Linked DNA regions of Caenorhabditis elegans. The protein of the gene in region 1 purifies or fractionates together with the protein of each later gene. This does not show direct contact. Each region holds a gene or a part of one and is shown on either strand. Other genes may lie near its edges. The genes, in order: unc-33, klc-2 and unc-14.

Evidence for each region.
Region 2: the proteins of unc-33 (region 1) and klc-2 purify together in Caenorhabditis elegans (affinity purification with western blotting, with the first as the bait; one study listed by BioGRID). This does not show direct contact.
Region 3: the proteins of unc-33 (region 1) and unc-14 purify together in Caenorhabditis elegans (affinity purification with western blotting, with the first as the bait; one study listed by BioGRID). This does not show direct contact.

What each region holds. Positions count from the first base shown.
Region 1 is NC_003282.8:3,515,236-3,519,985, reverse strand, and holds the start of unc-33 (Protein unc-33), read right to left. Parts: upstream 3,101-4,750; coding exon 3,060-3,100; intron 3,009-3,059; coding exon 2,848-3,008; intron 2,794-2,847; coding exon 2,609-2,793; intron 2,547-2,608; coding exon 2,481-2,546; intron 1,912-2,480; coding exon 1,821-1,911; intron 1,712-1,820; coding exon 1,491-1,711; intron 531-1,490; coding exon 214-530; intron 1-213. UniProt on the Caenorhabditis elegans protein: During neurogenesis, plays an essential role in axonal guidance and outgrowth by regulating the polarization of both microtubule and actin cytoskeletons.
Region 2 is NC_003283.11:5,576,127-5,581,266, forward strand, and holds klc-2 (Kinesin light chain), read right to left. Parts: upstream 3,379-5,140; coding exon 3,261-3,378; intron 3,209-3,260; coding exon 2,892-3,208; intron 2,841-2,891; coding exon 1,921-2,840; intron 1,871-1,920; coding exon 1,762-1,870; intron 1,136-1,761; coding exon 977-1,135; 3' UTR 611-976; downstream 1-610. UniProt on the Caenorhabditis elegans protein: Kinesin is a microtubule-associated force-producing protein that may play a role in organelle transport. The light chain may function in coupling of cargo to the heavy chain or in the modulation of its ATPase activity.
Region 3 is NC_003279.8:7,122,186-7,130,300, forward strand, and holds unc-14 (RUN domain-containing protein), read right to left. Parts: upstream 6,062-8,115; 5' UTR 5,953-6,061; coding exon 5,323-5,952; intron 4,401-5,322; coding exon 4,284-4,400; intron 3,741-4,283; coding exon 3,658-3,740; intron 2,964-3,657; coding exon 2,784-2,963; intron 2,598-2,783; coding exon 2,496-2,597; intron 2,364-2,495; coding exon 2,220-2,363; intron 2,068-2,219; coding exon 1,888-2,067; intron 1,842-1,887; coding exon 1,690-1,841; intron 1,595-1,689; coding exon 1,429-1,594; intron 1,119-1,428; coding exon 875-1,118; 3' UTR 429-874; downstream 1-428. Other genes in the region: K10D3.8 (uncharacterized protein), read right to left, coding at 1-9.

The DNA.
Region 1 (4,750 bases):
CAATTTGTAAATGAAAATTTTAAAATTCGCGGTAAATTCAGTTTCTGGGCTAAAAATGCAAAAAAACTTCATAAAAATTCACAAATTTTAGCTGAAAATCACAAAAATCTTACGAAAATTCACAATATCTGGACTAAAATTGCTCAAAATTCCGATTAAAGAGGTCAATTTTTGACCGAAAAATTCAATTTTCAACTCAAAAATCCGACTTACTGAATAATTCCATCTTCAATCAGAATATCAGCTACAAAAATCGCATCGTCATTGACAATTTGAGCATTTTTGACGAGCAAAATCGACATTTCACCGCCGCCTCCGTTGCCGTCGTCTCCACTATTCTTCTTCTCAGCAGCCGACTGCGCAGAGCTCTCACCGTCTGCCGTCTCTTCAATCGCCCCACTATTTCGTCGGTCTGTCGGCGTCTCTCCATTTCTTGTACTATCTCCGTCTTCGGAAGGATGACCCTTTTTGGAGGAAGAAGAGCCATTGTCGTCGTCGTCTTTTTCGTCCACTTTCGATTCGTATTGAGGCTGGAGAAAGTAAGAGATAAAGGATGAAGAAAAGAGAAGCTTTTTGCAATAAAATTGACAATTTTATAGGAATTTAAAGCTTTTTAGAGTAAAAATTGGGTAAAAACATAGAAAATTAACACTTTTATGTTTAAATTTTGCCATTTTCAAGCTAAAATTGCCTGAAAATTGCTATTTTTAGGGCTTTTAGAGAGAAAATTGGCTGAAAAAATTGGGGAAATTGGTTGAAAAAAATCACTCTTAAAGTTGTAAAAATAAGCTTTTTGCAATAAAAATTACCAGTTCTATAGTAAATTTTGAGCTTTTTTGGAGATTTTTCAGGCTAAAATCGCCTGAAATTTATAATTTGTATTAAAAGAGCTTTTTGCTGCAAAATACTGTACTTCTAGAGCTAATTTTCAAAATTGTGAAAAATTTGACTTTTCTTGTGTTAAAAACGTTATTTTAGAGCCAAATTATTGAAAATTGCCACGAAAAGTGGAAAATTACACTTTTTGCAAAAAAATTGACAGCTTTAGGAAATTTAGAGCTTTTTAGAGAAAAAAATTAACTAAAAATCGCTTGGAAAATTAACAAAAGTGCAATATAATTGGCAGTTGGAGCAAAAATTGCTCAATAATGTGGAAAAAAACTAGATTTTAATTTCTATTTTAGGAACAAATTGCCTGAAATCGGGGTTTTCTTTTAAAAAATCTGAAAATTCATTTAACCTATAATTGTCACTGAAATTTCTGAATTTCTCACCATTTTTCTATTTTTTTCTGCTCAAAATTTCGCGATTTTTCAAACAATTACAGTGAACATTAATTTTTTAATTGTTCTCCAGGTGACATCTGTTCAAACAATTCTCTCTCCCTCCGTCACAAACAAACAAAACGCCGCGAAAAACTTGCTAAACTATATCAAAAATTGATGGAAAGGACACAGAAAAATGGGAAAACTCGTGAATAAATCACGAACCTCTTCCATTTCTTGAGCTTCAGCCTCAGGCTCTTCCTCATCGTCAACGCCGGCGCCAATATCTGGACCGGGAAGCGATTCGGCGGGGTTGAAGCTTTTCGGGTAGCTTTGAGGATCTAAAACGTCTTCTTTCGCTTCTTGCCAATCCGAATCGAAGTCTGGCGTCGATTTTTCTCCGCGCAACACCTTTTCCGCCGGGCAGTTCGGGTCGGGGGGTAGTTCTGTAAAAAATTCTGCAATAAATACTTATTTTCTACATTTTTAATGGTTTTAAACACAGATTTGTGGCTTATAAACCACAAATTCTCTCGAAAAATCTGATTTTCTCACCAATATCCGTCATATCCATCTGTTCGAACCCTTCAAACCATTCTGGGCCAGGCTGAGAGAGTTTAGCATTGCTTACAACACGATCGGATGGCTGAAAATCAAAAAAATTGAAGAAAATTGCAGGAAAATCGGTTAGAAATTACAAAAATTGGGCTTTTAAATTTCAAAAAAATAACTAAAAAAAAACAAAACTCGTCGAGACCCACGTTTCGCAAAGTGATGTGTACCTTTAAAGTTACGGTAGTTGATAATGAAGGTTTAAGAGAGTTTTGCCTGGTTTTTGGTATATTTGACATAAAAAATTAATGAAAATTGGAATATAAAAATTATTTTAACATATAAAGTCAAGAAAACATTAGAAATAATGGCAAAAATCCTAAAAACTAAAGAAAAACAATTTTCGTGGCGAAACCTGGACTATATAAATTGTGATGCGCCTTCAAAGATTACTGTAGGACACGTTTGAATTTATTTTTCTATTTTATTTTATTTTTTCATTTTTTCTTCTTTCTTTCCGGGATGTTTTCGATTTATTCTAGAATTTTTTACTGTAAACACAAGTTTTTATCAAATTTTTCGTAAATCAACGTGGTTTTGCCCTGAACATTGCGACTTTTCGTATCCTGCGACATTAGAAGTTAGAAAAATTTTTAAACTCACCGCGTCGGCTGGGTTTTCTCGTTTTGATGGCGCTGGTGACGTGCTGCCTCCGCCACCAAATAGCTCCTAGAAAATTCGATTTTTCACCAAGTTTGCTAGAATTTTGATTTTTTAAACGGGAAACCCACCATCATTGCCGACGACATCTCGAGACCCTTGTTCTTGTGCCGCGCTGGAGCCGGAATCGCATCTTTAACCGGAATCGGAGAGGATTTTCCTTCGGATCGGGCCGACGTTGGCAGTGAGGACACACTCGTCTTTTTAACAATTGCCGAGCTTCGGCTGTTCGGACGGCTCCCTAGCTTATTCACTCCTAAATTGGGCAAAAACTTCGCTTAAAATTACGGGAAAACGTGACTAATCTAACCTTCACTACTCCTACTTTTATTAGAAACAGTCTCCAGGTCATCCAGATTCCTGAGCGTTGGAATTACAGATTTCTCGGTGCCAGTGCTCGATGGAGCTCTAGAATATGGAGAATCTGCTAGAAATGTGATTTCTACGTAGTACTTTGTGCCTTGTTGCTCTCTAAAATTGGATTTAATTGGAAAAAAAAACCACGGAAAACGCAAAACTTACACATGATTTGCTGATCGAATTGGTGCTAAAAACGGGAACATTTTCCAGTGATGTCCGCCAACTATTTGGCCCTCCTCTAGTGATAAATGTGTATTTTGCGCGCTTTCTGTAACGAAAAATTGGGTTTTTTCAATTATTTTTAGGTTAAAAAGAGGTAAAAATGAAGATTGGAGGAAAAAAGACGGGAAAATTTCAATTTTCGGATTAACTATGGTAATTGCGGTGGTAAATCTTCTTTAGAAATTTGCAAAATGTGACTTTGGGGGAACTTTCGAGGGGAAAAAACAAAATTTCCAGTGGTTTTTCAGGGGTTTAATCAAATTTTAAAGAAAAATTCATAAATTTTGAAATTTTTCTACGGAAAAAATGGCTTTTTACACATATTTTATGTAAATTTAGCAATTTTTAGTGTGAATTCTCTCACGAGACTAAAAATCTTATTCCTGCAGGAAAAAATCTAAAAATACAACAAAAATATTGTATTTTCAAAAAATAATGTTTTAGTTTTTCTAATGTTTTTTTTCTTAGAAAATCGATTTTTTTGCAAATCGAAAGAAAAAAATCTTCAAAAACCCAAAAAATGCTCCAAAATTGAAAAAAAACTAAATTTCACATCAAAAAACAGAGAAAATTGTTTGTATTTAAAAAATAAGAAAGCTGTAGAAATTTCTAAAATTTTCACGAATTTTTTCCAGTGAATTTCCAAAATTGAGATCAATTTTCTGGCTGCTTTCTAGAGAAAATTGACAAAAAAAAGAAAAAATTCAGAAATTTTTGAAGAAAAATCCTAACTTTTCTTTAAATAAAAAACCTAAAAATAAAATTCTGAAATTTCCGAAAAAAGGAAAAAATCTGATTTTTTAGAGATGAAATTTCTTGCAACTCTCTGAAGAAAATTAAACAATCCAAAAAAGCTCATCAAGAAACAAAGAAAAGTTGTCCCATCCCCACAAAAAGGCACGAAATCGATGTGAGATGGCCCCGAAAGCGGCGGCGGAAAGCCTCCGGGGAGTGTTCTCTGTGTTTCTCTCCGTCTCCGGCTCTCTCTCTGACTCATTCTCTCTCCACGAATACCATGTCAGAGACGCAGAGGGGGGTCACTATTGGTTTCTCTGACGCTCTCTCGTCTCTCGCTTACAATGTGTCCGCCGGAGAGGTTTCCGCCCGATTTATCGATTTACAAGCATCCATCGGGGATCGCTTGGAGCTCTGAATTTTTCGAATTTCCCGCATCTTTTTCCGATTGGATTTTTTTAGTTTAAAACCGCCCGCGGTCAACTGGTATTGCTGTGTTTATATTGAAAAAGAACACAATAATTTGTTTATTTCGCAACACACACCGGGTGGTGTGTCGGTATTTCAAACAATGATTCATCAAGAAAGGAAATAATCATAAGATGACAGTCTCCGTTTTTTCTGCTGATTTTTTGAGAAAAATCAGCAAAAAATTGAGATTCTCATTGCTTTTTTCTCGGAGATTTTGCACTAATATTCATCGAAATTCCGGATTTCGCGGATTTTTCATGAAAAATTTAGAAAATCCTTATGTACAGTAGTAGTGCTTCCGCCATTTTCTGCTATTTTTGGTGAATTTGTCCCGAAATTTGAGTTTTTAGCTGATTTTTCACGAAAATCTAGAAAATTCTAGAGGCTTCGATTTTTCCACCGATGCTCCATTACTCATACTCCGT
Region 2 (5,140 bases), on another chromosome or scaffold:
AAATTCCGCCCAATGTTTGGTTGTCATTTCTTTCGAAACGTCGGTCGCTTGCTAATCGTTGGGTATATAAGCAACGTTGACTACTAAAGTTTTCACTTCGGTCCGGAGATTATGGGTTATCAATTTGACAATTTCCTGCCAGCAGGAAGCCCTGGTACCAGGGTTTGGTACCGCTCATGTTAATCTCTCCGTGTTCTTCATAGAATACAAACCCCTTCCCATAATCACCAACTTGACCGTTGTTTTTTGTTAATTTTTTGAATATCAGGGTAAATGTTTTTCAAGTCTTATTGAATAAATATCATGAATCTTTGCAATTATAATTTTTCTCGAAACGTTTTTCCAATTTAATCGGGTTCACATTTTTATAATTAAAAAAAAATGTTATTATGCGAATAGCTAACAAAAATAGAAAAGCAGTGTTTAATTAGAACTTGATACATATAAATAAATGAGAACTTGTAAACTTTTGGAATTTTGCGAAGAAGTGTAAAGCTTGATGACGGAGTACAATGTCGAGCAACAATCAATACATAACGGATCGTTCCATTCTTCGAGATTCGGACATCTGAAATTGAAGTTTTCTTTTTCTTGTAACAAGCAGAATTCAAAAATAAACCCTTTATTTACAACAACACGATTTTTCAGCTTGTTATAATTATGTTTTTTTTTTTGCTTGAAAAGAAAATTCGAAGCAGACAATATAAAGCTTTACCAAAAAGTTGGTGGGGGCGGACAAGGAAACATTCAATTATTCAACCCTATTATTTATGAACAAGATTTTGTGAATGAGGGGATGGGGCAGAAAGAAAAATCAATCAAAAAAAAAAGAATCATGCACAACACAACGAAAGAAGAAAAAAGCAAGTTTTCGTAGATCTGAGACAAAATTTCAGAATTTGGAACTTGAATCAACGAGCACTTATTAATACAAGAACGATAAGCGGTTTTCAGTCAGTGCTGCAAAGAGATGCTCTTAAGAGTTGAATCCGAGTGCATTCATTAGTTTATTCTTCAATCCAGTTTGAGATGTGCTCGTTGTCATCGAGTTTCTGGATCCACCGATTGTAGAAGCCATCATCGACTGGCTCATTTCATCGATTCCGCCCATCGCTCCACTTCGTAATGGCTCATGCTGAAAGAGGAAACAATACTGAAAAGAGGAAACGAGTGACCAAATTCTAAAGCACATCACTATCACTAAAATACAAAAATAAGCGTTTTATGTGTTTTTTTTTGTTACTGGAATTGTTATTGATGGGGGCTTGGGGAGGACAAGAATATGCTTCGTATTAAATTTAAACTTTAATTTTAAAAAACAATTCGTTTGAATGAGCTTCAGATTTGTGCAATATTTCAGTATTTGCCAATTTTGGTTCAAAAGTTGGCAAGACATTGTTCAGGCAGCATCTAATTTTCGGGTTAGTTTGAAACATAGTTTTGGTCAAAATTTTATTGTCGAATTTTTGATGTGTGCGGCAATTTTCGAAATTTACCGTGTCCGGCAAGTTCGGCAACCGGCAAATTCGGCAAATTTGACGCACTCCCCTGGTTTGAAACAACTGTTGTCAATGTTTTAAGTTCCAAAAATACATGTAAATATGAAGCAAATTCTTGTCACTGGGGTATCGGGGACGCATACAACATTTTACAACATTAATATCTAACTTCTAAATTTTTTTTCTGAACTTTTGTATTTTAAATGCAGTAAAGCGTGCTAGATAGAGAAGCCATGAATGCAGAAAAAACATCATTACATACCTGTTTCTTTGCTCTCAAGGCGACATCTTCCAATGTTTCGGCGGCTTCATATTTTCCTTGTCGCCGGTAAAGGGCTCCAAGGTTCTTGAGAGTTGTTGTGACGGTTGGACTGGAATCAGTTTTGTTTAATTTATTTTTTTCTAATAAAAATCATAATACCTATCAACTTTGGCGGCTTTTGCCCATCCAGCTTGTTCGTTGGCAGTTGCACCTTCTCCCTTGTGCTTGTTCTCCTCTCGTTCTTCAGCGATTTGCCAAATTGGTTTATTCTCTCCACTGATCTGTCCGAACTCTCTTTCATGAGCTCTGGTGAGAATTTGCTTGTACAACTCCTCAGCCTCCTTATATTTTCCTTGTTTCAAGTAAGCAGATGACAAATTGTTCTTGGTCTTTGCCACATTCGGGTCATCAGGTCCAAGTTTGCTCTCGTAGATTTCGAGAGCTCTCTTGTAATACTTCTCGACTTCTTCATACTTTCCTTGATTTTGGCAAAGAAGAGCAAGATTATTGAGTTGCTTGGCCACATCTGGATGATCATCTCCAAGAACTTTCTCGCGAATTTCAAGAGCACGCTTGCAAAGCGGTTCAGCATCCTTGAACTTTCCACGTTTTCCGAACAAAACTGCGAGATTGTTGAGAGTGGCGGCAACAGCTGGATGACTTTCTCCAAGACATTTCTCACGAATACTGAGAGCCTCATTCAGAAGATTTGCAGCCTCTTTGTACTTGTTCTGATCTCTGTAGACAAGTGCCAAAATATTGAGCATTGTGGCAACATCTGGATGATCGTGACCACTCGTTTTCTCCAAATCTTCCAAAGCTTGCTTGCACAATGGAACTGCAACTTCATAACGACCTTGGGAGGCGTATTGAATGACCAAGTTGTGAAGTGTGCGAAGACGAGCTGGAATTTCGTATCCAACATTAGCAGAAGCCGCCATTTGGTTGGCTGGTGTTGGTTGGTTGAATTGACTAGCATTCATATCTTCTTCGTCTTCTGGTCCAAAACCAAGTTCTTGAAGAGTTTCGTTTGTGACTGGTTGTGGTCCAACATCGACAGATGTCTTAGTATCACTTTGCTGAAAACAAACAAAATAAGTTAAGAATGCTCCTCGAAAAATTCAACTTACAGTTCCATCATCAAATTGTTTGATTGATGCCATATACTTAAGATGCTTGTTCTCCTCTTCCAATTGAGCAACCATTTGCTCCGACTGTTGAAGTTTGATTTGAGTTGAACTCAACTCATCACGAAGCCACGCATTCTCCTGGCACAAGCGTCTCCGTTGAGCTTGGTATTTCTGATGTTGAGCATCCATTCCTTGAGTGAGTTGGAATACCATCAGCATCAACGATGTCTCATCAACTCCGCACACCAACTTATCCAAATTATCGTTAATTTGTGAAAGCTTCTGCTTCGGCAATGGAGCTTCATCTTCTTTCACACCTAAATGATTGAATTTTAGTAAATGTTCAACTCGTCGTAAAAAAAGCCATACCTTTGACACTAGTCTCCAAAGTATTCGAAATTGTCGAGTGTTCCTCACGAAGAGCTTCAAGTCCCTGCTGAACGGTACGTAGGCCCGTCGTCACGTCGTCCTGCGACATGTTTGACATTTTCGCCAGCGACTCGATTTTTCGCCTGAAATTTTAAATCTATTAAATGTAATTGGAAGAAGTTCGAGAAGTGTTGGTAGCTAACGAGAAAATTTTTTCAGTGAGTAAAAACAGTTGAATCTATGTAGATCATAGCTATTAGGTCGTTCAATAAGTTTTGCGATAGTCTTTTTTTTTAATTTCAGATTTATCAGAAAAAATTAACCCTTTTTTTCTTTTAAATGTAAATAATGCCAAAGTATGGCACAACAAAAATTAATTAAAATCTTGCATTCTCTCAAAAACGTAGAACTAGATTCAAAAAATATTTTTCCATGAATACTGCTCACTTTGGAATTCTAAAAAATGCAAAAATTTGAAAATCAGCCTGACAGTTTTATACCATAGATCTATTTGGTGCAAGAATTTGGAAAATCTATTATTTAGGTAAATATTATCCAGTTTCAATTTTATGGCTGAAGTTAAAAAAAACGCCAAAATGAGCTCTCAAAGATTGAGGAGGGCGTCTTAAATAACAGCCCTGCCATTTGCTATTGAAATACAGGAGATCGTGGCGAGACCCCCTGAGAAAATACGCATGTGCCTTTAAAATGACATTCCACATTTTCACAAAATAACGATAAACTTATTTTACACCGAAACGTTGCTTTGAAATAAGTTGAAATAAAGCAAAAATGTTCCAAATGTTCAACACGTTTTAGAGAAAATAAAAATCATCGTGGATTGATATTTTCTTTTAAAAATTTGTAATTTTTATTTACTCGGTTTTTGAAATTTTTAATTTGAAAAAATCAAGGCTGCACTATGCGCTATAATTTTTGAAAATCAATAGCATTTCGTGGTAGAACTAATATATTTCTTTGATTTTGCTAGGTTGAGTTGCACTAGAACAATTTTGGAAAAACTTTTAGAAAACTGAGAAACTTTTTGGAATATGTCAAAGATAAGCTAAATATGTGCAACACTATAGGTACAAATTTCGCAATATAAGCAGAAATGAAACCAAATTTTAACTTTCTAATAATTTCTCTCCTGCAAAAGCTCATAAGAAATGGTTCTGAACATAAAGATGCTAATAAAGTGTGGACAAGTAAAACATAACGTTGTTCGGAAAGAGTGTTTGGTTGTATTAACCGAAAGCCCGCTCTCGTCGTGTCGGCGAATAGACAGCGAGACGTGCGCAGCCACTGATGAGAGATCATAGAAATATTAGAGACAACATAGAAACTATTGATCGTCCGTCCAACATGGAGGAAATGAGAGAGCAAGAGACGGAGGCGAGAAAGAATTGCGAAACAATTGGAAAGATGCATCCTTTCATAGTTAATTGCAATGTTTGGACACCTGAGTTTTTATGAAGAATACATCTAGGATTTGTTTAGCTTCATATGCAAAAAAGTATCGAAATTGCTTTGTTTCTCAAGAGAAAGGTGGGATTTCAGAAAATATAAAAACCAAAAAATAAAACATATTAACATAAACTTCTCATGAATTATTAGAATTTGGGCAAAGAGTTTTGATTCATATATTCACTATTTCTGAAAACTTGTCATAAGATCTTGCAATTTTGAATTAGAGGACTAGGAAAGTAGATTTCGATTTTTATTTTTATTTTACGGTAGATGCAAATTGAAATTTTTTGAAAATTAGGGTATCCGCTTAGAATGTACTGTACATTTTTTGTTACAGCCCTAGCGGAAATAACTTTCAAACATTTTTTGATGAGTAATGCATGTGATAAGAAAATGATTCAACACTCTAA
Region 3 (8,115 bases), on another chromosome or scaffold:
GAAATTCATATTAGATTTGGAAATTCAGTGTAAGAACTTCTTGCTTTTTACAATTTTCTCACCCCCTTTTATAGGATTTTCAAATGTTATTGTTATCTCGAAATAATTCGTTCTTATCACATCATTCGACATGAGACACTAATGGAAACTAGTTCAGATAAAAAAAAAACATCTTAAGATCAAAATGTTTTTGGTAAATATTTGTGAATTGTTGTAATTTGTGATTCGTTGAATTACTATTAATCATTAAATGTTACGCCCGGTGATCTTTGAAAATTATTGAAGGCTATATTGCAACGCCACTGAAATCCAAAAAGTGTAAAAAAAAAACCAAATTACAAAATTATTTGTATGTTTTTTCATTTTTAAGTTCATTTTCAAACATTTTAGATTATTTAATAACTTTTCCAAATTTAAAATTAATAATTAAATGCATTTTATTTATTGTTTATTTTCAAAAACAATACAAATCCGATTGGCTCTATTCCAAAATACAAATAAACATTTTCGTTTTTGTTATTGAATAATGTTTTGGCAAGCTGCAAAGAATCCAATAGTTGCCTCGATTTTAGCTGAAAAAGGAAGGAAATAAAGCAATTTTCTTCTATACGAAGATAGAAGGAGCAAAATTGGAGGAAACCGGAGGGAAAAGAGAGGCTATCTAATGACTTTTAAATTCAAAAAAATATTTGAAAGTTTTCAAACATTTTTCATGAATTCAGTTGAACATGAAAAAGAAATGAGTATCATTGAGGGAAAACGATGAATGCATGGGATGGGGGATCAAACTCGGTTGAATTGGGTGGCATGACTAGAATTATATGAAGCATCGGAAAAAAATTAAAGTTCAAGAAAAAAATAAAGTACAGAGTGTTCACTGGAAAAGAAGATGTTCAATCGGAATAACTCCATTGTTGATTTTTGAATGAGAAGTCGTTAAACGGACACATCGAGCAAGTCCTCCACGAGTTGATAGAACACTAACTTTTTCTCCGTCTGAGAGGGAGAAATTGGCAAGTGTGAAGTCACCCATTATAGATGCAACTCGAATACGAGATGTCGTTGAAGGTGATCGAGCTGATCGAGGTGTTGAAGTTGTTGAGCTGATACTGATGCGACTGAAAAATTGAAAAGTGGTTAAGAGTTGTCAAAGATCAAGAGAGCTTTTGATTGCATTTGTTGATTTTTTTAGAATCAAATCAATTGCCAAAAATAATTCAGAATATCTACCCAACACTCTTAAAAATGAGGCACAATTACAGCGAAAAAATTCACTGAAGAAATTTCAGAGCGAAATTTTTAGAGTGTGGTTGCTGAGCTTTGCTTAAAATTTTTTGATATCCTGGTCTAAATGCATATAAACTTTTAAATAAGACATGTCTCGTTTCGAAGTCTGCCAATTTTGCAATGAAAAAACAAACAAATTACCTTGTTGACAATGGTATCCTTGATCTTCTTGATGGAGCAGTTGATAATCTTGCTGGGAACGATGAACTCTTTGGAACTCTTGAGTCAGAAGCTATTCTGGATGCTCCGCCCCATTGTTGCATTGATTTGAACTGTTGGTGAACTGAATCACTGCGAGCTTCGATCACTAAAAATATCAATGTGCAAATTTCAAAAAGGGAACTATTGGGGCATTTTAGATATACATTCATTTAAGTTGTTGTTAATGAAAACTAGAATTACCTGGCAAAAGAGACAAACTGTCGACCATTCTCCAAAGAAGAGTTCTGTATTCAGAACTCGCAGAAAGAAGGAATGCATTTTCAGAATACAATGTTTTCAGCACCTTCTCTTTCAACACAATATAGCACAGCCAGCAGTCCAATGAGTTTTCTCTGTAACTCTTACTTGAACGATTATATTTCTATTTTCTCCGATTACCTGATAAGCTCCTCAAAGAAGATTTCAACTTTGACGTTGTCAGTCTTTGAACATTCTTCCAATTGTTTTACAATTGAATGAACATCTTTTGTAGCTGGGCCTTTTGAGGTAACCGTCTGAATCATTGTCCATGCCGATACATTTTCTTGAAGACCATCTTCAATTAAGCATCTCATGGCGCTGAAAATGTTGAAACATTTTAATTTGTATTAATAAGAGTCTATTTTGAGTATTTTTTATTGAACTGGACTATTTTTCCATTTTTTTTTACATTTTCAGGGTTTCTTTAAAGTTGCAGACCCTCATATTTAATATTAAAAAATATTTCTTACATGACAAGCAAATCACTTCCATCCCCTCTTGAAATTGCAGCAACGCCTTCAACAACATTCTCAACGAGTGTCCGCTTTGCTGCATAAATCGGCAATCCGACAATTGAGAGCTCTTTTGCGCGCAGTTGATGGCGAGTCGTTGAACTGAAATGAGAAATGAGATTTCGAAAGAAGGAAGAGAATGAAAAGAAGTGAATGTGCGCGGGTAAGTGATTGATGATGAGGGTCAAATGGAAGATTAAAGAGCATAATAGAGTCAGTGAAGAAGAAGCTTACGTTGTTGGTGCAAATGAGAAATTCGTATCCGTGGGTGTTGATGCGCAGTCACAAAGAACCGTCTTTGATTGGGCAGTTTGAGCCCAAACTGGTGGGTGTATCCTGAAAAAAATTGTTATGAATATTTTAAGACAGAAAACCATATTCTAACAAATAGTGAGATACACATTTATTACACAACATGTGTCTTGTATACTATTTTAACGATTGGTCATCAAACGTTTCGTCACCCTAAAGCAATTAGCCGTTAGCTTCTCAAATAGCTCATAAAAATCAAAAGATTCTTACCTCCTTCGTACTCGATAACACGTTCGACATGCTTCATTTGCTGATGCTGAAATACCAGAGATACGGCGATCAATGCAATTTGATACGATGTTTGTTGATGTTTGGGGTGCTGTTTTTGATGTACTTGATGTTAATAATTGGGTGTTGCTCTTGAAGAATGAACATGCTTCTGCGACGTGTCTGAAACATTACAATTAAGAAAATATTTTTAGTTTTGATGTGATTCTCAAAGCGTTAATAGTGTTTTGTTTAAAATGCCAAAAAACCTAAAACAAAGCTAAAAACCTCAAGTAGTTTCAAAACAATCAACGTCTTAAAGGTTTCAGCAATCCATATGATTGATTGAAAAAGCGAATCGTTGATCGGCTTGAAATTCTCATTTCGGAGGTAATTTAAACAAAGAAAAATTAGCCAAAACAGAAAAATCTATTTTTTCAATTAAAAAAAACATTATTTTCCATTCTCACTAGTTTCTTTCGTTTTTCTTTTGAGTTGTTTCAGGGTTATAGACTAGTTTGAGTATTTTAAAACTAAATCCACACTCACAATCTCCACCTTTAACCTTTTCCGATAGATTGACCAATTTTCAAAAAAGTCAATCACGTGCCCATTTCAGTTTTCTTCCCTCAATTTCCGTTCACCCCACAGAAAAAGTCCTTTCTTTTCCCAATCTTCCCTGCGCCATCTTTTCTCCGACTGGGTTAACGGGAAGAAAGAAAATGTGAAAAATCTCTGCGTCTCTTATTTTTCTCCAATGTTTCCCTTCAATAAAAGAGTGCCGGGGCGCGAAATAATCTTGAGATTAAGCCGGCGAAAAATGAAAAATGAGCGAGCGAAAGAAAAAAGGGAAAATCGAATGAAAAACGTGACTCACTTGGGCAGAAGAACAGATAGAGATTGCCAATCTTCAATGTGGCTCGGACCACTACAACCGAGTCCTGAGTCGGGAGAGTCTTCCTGAAAAAGAAAAGGATGAATAATTAATGGAAACAAATAATGTGAGAGTATTAGAGACTGAGAAATATCAGATTACGTGCCACAATGAGTTCATGGGGATAACTACTGTAGGAACAATTAAATTTATACTTATATTTAGTTAAAGCTGCGAATGGAAAACCATTTAAAAGTATTATATCGTGGTAAAACTTTTCGAAAAAATTAATCAGGCTTTTACATATCTAAAGTCAATTTTGGAATTTTTGACAACTTTTTAAAATTTTTACTAAAAATTTGGAAAGTTGAAAAAGGATACTTGGTTGACTATTATGCAAATATGTTTACTAAATCACCACTGAAGATTTTCTTGTTTAAAATTGCATGCACTTTGAGTTTTTATGATCTTACCTGCTTATTAAAACAGCATTAAAACAGCAATTAAAGCAGCTTATTGGAATAGGTATCCTATTTTAGCTGATAATCAGACTTCTGCACAATAGGGAAAACTTGTTCAATTTATCTCATGGTTAAGTTTATTTTTCAATGCTAAAAACAAGAACTTACTTGAAAGAAGAGCGGAAAATCATTGGTTGAAGTAATCGACGGTAGTGGCTCACATTTCTGCATTTTAATAATAGCATCACGGAACGAAGCGGTGAATGACTCGCAGAGAGATGGCATCTAAAAATTAATTTATTTAATTATAAAGTTTGAATGCATGTTCTAATTTCTCATGGTTACACTACTACTAAAAGACATTATCTAGACATGCGTCCGTATATGAAACATTAAAAAATAGAAACGAACGCAGTCAATCGATCAAATGAATGGGTATGATAAGTGCGGCGCGACGACTACAGCGGCGACGTTGACACAAAAAAGAAACCGATAACAATTTTGGTTGTCGCGGATTGGATTATGTAAGATTGATGTTTATTTCTTGCTTCTTCATTTGCATCCCGACGGGATACTTTCTGTTTTTTCTTTTAAAAATTATATTCTGTTAGGATCATTATCTCAAAAATAACATCGACCTACAAAATTGTTTTTAAATGGGAAGGAATGTGATGACCAACCGATGATACTATCTAAGTATTTGCAAATTTAGACTTTAGAATTTAGTTTTTGAAAAAAATGTGTTGACTAGAAAATAAACTAGCAATAAATACTTGTAGTCATTAACACAATGTTTTTATTTGTCAGTTGACAGCTATTCCCAAGATACATAGGTTTTGTATATTCTGTCAGACAGTATTTTTATTTATCAGTCTTGTCAGTATTGAACCACTTTAACAGTTTATATCCCGACGGCCAGATATAAACTGTTAAAGTAAACCGAAAAAGAGCAAGATTAGTAGGAGAAATACGGTGAATGTTGATGAAATTCAAATGTATCAAAATAAATTCTTTAAATTATTTTTTTGAAAAAATTGTTTATTTTCTTTACTGCGGAAAAAAGTGAAGATGATTTATTTTTTGGAAAAACTTAAAACGTTGCATCGAAAGAAAAAAGAACGCTCCGACCACCTCGATCTTTGCCGCAGAACACAATACAGACAAAATTTATCACCCGTCTCTTATCACTTACGAAAAAAAAACTGACCTCATGATGCATTGCCAGGAAGTCTAATTTCGGAGGCTTTTCATTATCAGACGATGTGATTGCCATTGAAGTTGGTGCTGTTACATTCTTTTCCAGAATATCCGCAAATGTTCGTTTCTGATTTTGTCCTCCAGATGAGCATCGTCTCGCTGAATCTCTTCTCCAACGATCTTTACGAATTATTTCTTCATTTGCCTCGCGAATTTCATTATCATTTACATCGACGAATCGAGTAGCATCTCCGGAAACAAAGTTGGCAATCAGTGAATTTGGACGATTTGGTGATCGAGCACTATCACTTCTTTTTACATTCCAAACATCTGGAGCACTGGCAGTACGTTCATCCAATGGTTCAGATGTCCGAATCCGACCCCAAGTTGTCAGATTATCATTTATACCTGATTGCCAATGTCCAGAGTCTGCGAATGCTAATTGAAAATCTTCTTTTTTCATTTGACATCTCTCTCGAAACTGTTGAGAGTCTAAAGAATCAGTTGATACAGAAGGATCAACTGATTCAAAGAGCATCGAATCTTCTCCACAAAAGTTGAGAGCAGCGATTCGAGCATCAATGTCATCGGGCCATTGATCCTCTTCAGGCATCATGTGCAGTTCGCACAGTTCCACCATTTTGGTGGAAGAATTGAGGGATGAAGCCCTTTGTAGACGTTCAGAATAACAGAAGCTGACTAGAAAAAGAAGAAATAAAGGGACGCGTCTCGCGCCGCCGCGTCGCCGTCGTTGTCGATCAATGAATCTGCGTCCCTGGCCTTTTGAAAAATGAGAGAACGAGAGAAAACGAGAGAAGCGTCAGCTGGCTATGCAATCCAAATTGTATCTCTCCGTCTCACTCTTCAATATACTCTTCTCGTTGTGTTTCGCAACGGAGAGATGTTGTCTGTGTCTCTGTGTAGCGCTGAAATGAGAGAAACACTCTTGAGAGTTGTATGCAAAGAATAGAAGACAGACGAACGAGAGTAGTTTGAGGGAAAGTGTTAGACGAGATGGCCGAGAAAATGTACTTGTGCATGAAAGATGATTGGCTCACATTTTTCAAGACAAAGAATCGTATTACTGTGATGGTGGACAACAAGTCGGAGAAATGAAAATTGAGGCAACTTGATACTATTGTCATACAGAATCTTAGAATCCACAAAACTTGGAGAATAAAAAAACATATAAGCCCATGAAATCATTTGAGATTGAATTATTTTTGCAAGGGCTGATTTTTGAAACATTTTCTAAAAAGTTTTCAAAAACATCTTGGTGCCAAAGTTGTATTTTTTTTGCATAAGAAAAGTTTGTGTTCAGAAAGTGACAAGAGTTTTTCCAGGAAAAAAAGTTTCCAAAAAACTTGAAAAACGGTTCCGGGAAATGTTTTAAACTCTGTTGTGGGCGTGTTCGTTCATGTTGTGATTTTTAATATTTTACGACCGTAACGTTGGTTTTCTTGAAAATGAACACTTTACGACAAAAAATCTAAATTTCATTGTTTTTAAAACTATAAAATAAAACTTTTCAGTGATTTCATTGTTAATGGGTTTGTAAAACATAATTGACTTCCATAGCTGAGAAGCCAAGATGACTTAGCCAAAATTTACTCCAAGAGTGCCAAAATTAAAACAACTCTGACATGTTTCATATTTTTTCAAAATTTTCAAACAGAGTTTTGGCAAAGTGCCATAGTTTGAAACAATTAGACATTTTTCAAAGATGAAACTGAAGTGACTGTTAATAAAACAATTTCAAAACGTTTTCAAGTCATTTGATAACTATTGAAATAATGTAGTCTAATGTTCTCTAGAGTAACTTGGAAAATGATTTGATACTGTAGTTCTTATATGTGGAATATACCTTTTCTCTTGTGGGGGGTCTTTAGGAATTTTCAGAAGATTGTCAGACTATTCTATAAAATCAAATGAGTCAAAGAGCATTCCACAATAATACCATTCCTTTGGGACAATAACCAAACGTATATCATTCATCTCAAAACTACAAACATCTCTTCCCATCTTTTTTTTGTCAAAATGGGACACTCGAGATGCTGCTGCTCTCTGTCTACTTGACACAACTGATATGAGAAAGAGAGTGCGAAAGAAAAAAGATCTATCGGTGTTTGTGTGACGTGGCAATTCATCATACTTCGTGGGTGAGAAATGATTGATTGGGACACAAGAAAATGGTAGAGGAAATTGAGAAAATGAGCTTAATTAAAATAGTGGGCAACGATGCAAACAAAATTTAAGTGATGAGAGACGGAGAAGAAGGATATGAGCAAAGAAATTTACATTCACAGAATGATTTGAAGTTTTTGTAGATTTCCAGTACGTTATTTTAAAGTTGTAAATTGTACATAGCAACTGTCGACTTGTAAAAATATTCAGATGATTTCCCAGTATTTAAATTTAATTTTTTTTCCAGGAAGTATCCAACAAAAAGCTAAATATTAGCAAATTTCGGTTTTAAAACAGTGGCTCTGTATCTATTTGCACAGGTTTTAACTGATGGAGTATTGCCAGTTGGGAAAATTATTGAAACCACTTATATGGTGAAAAAATGACCAAGTATTCTTTTTTCAAAGCTATGTAAAAACGCAAAAAAATATTGTATAATCTTGGTGTCGGAGTTGTAAATTTTTAGCTCAAGATTTCATAAGAACAGTTTTAGCTCGAAAAATTTTTGAACATTCTTTTTATTTCTTTAACATTGTCTACGAATTTTATATTTTAATTAACTTTTAATGATTTGCAATTCAACATTGGGGGACATCTAAAATGTAAGTATGATTTTTCA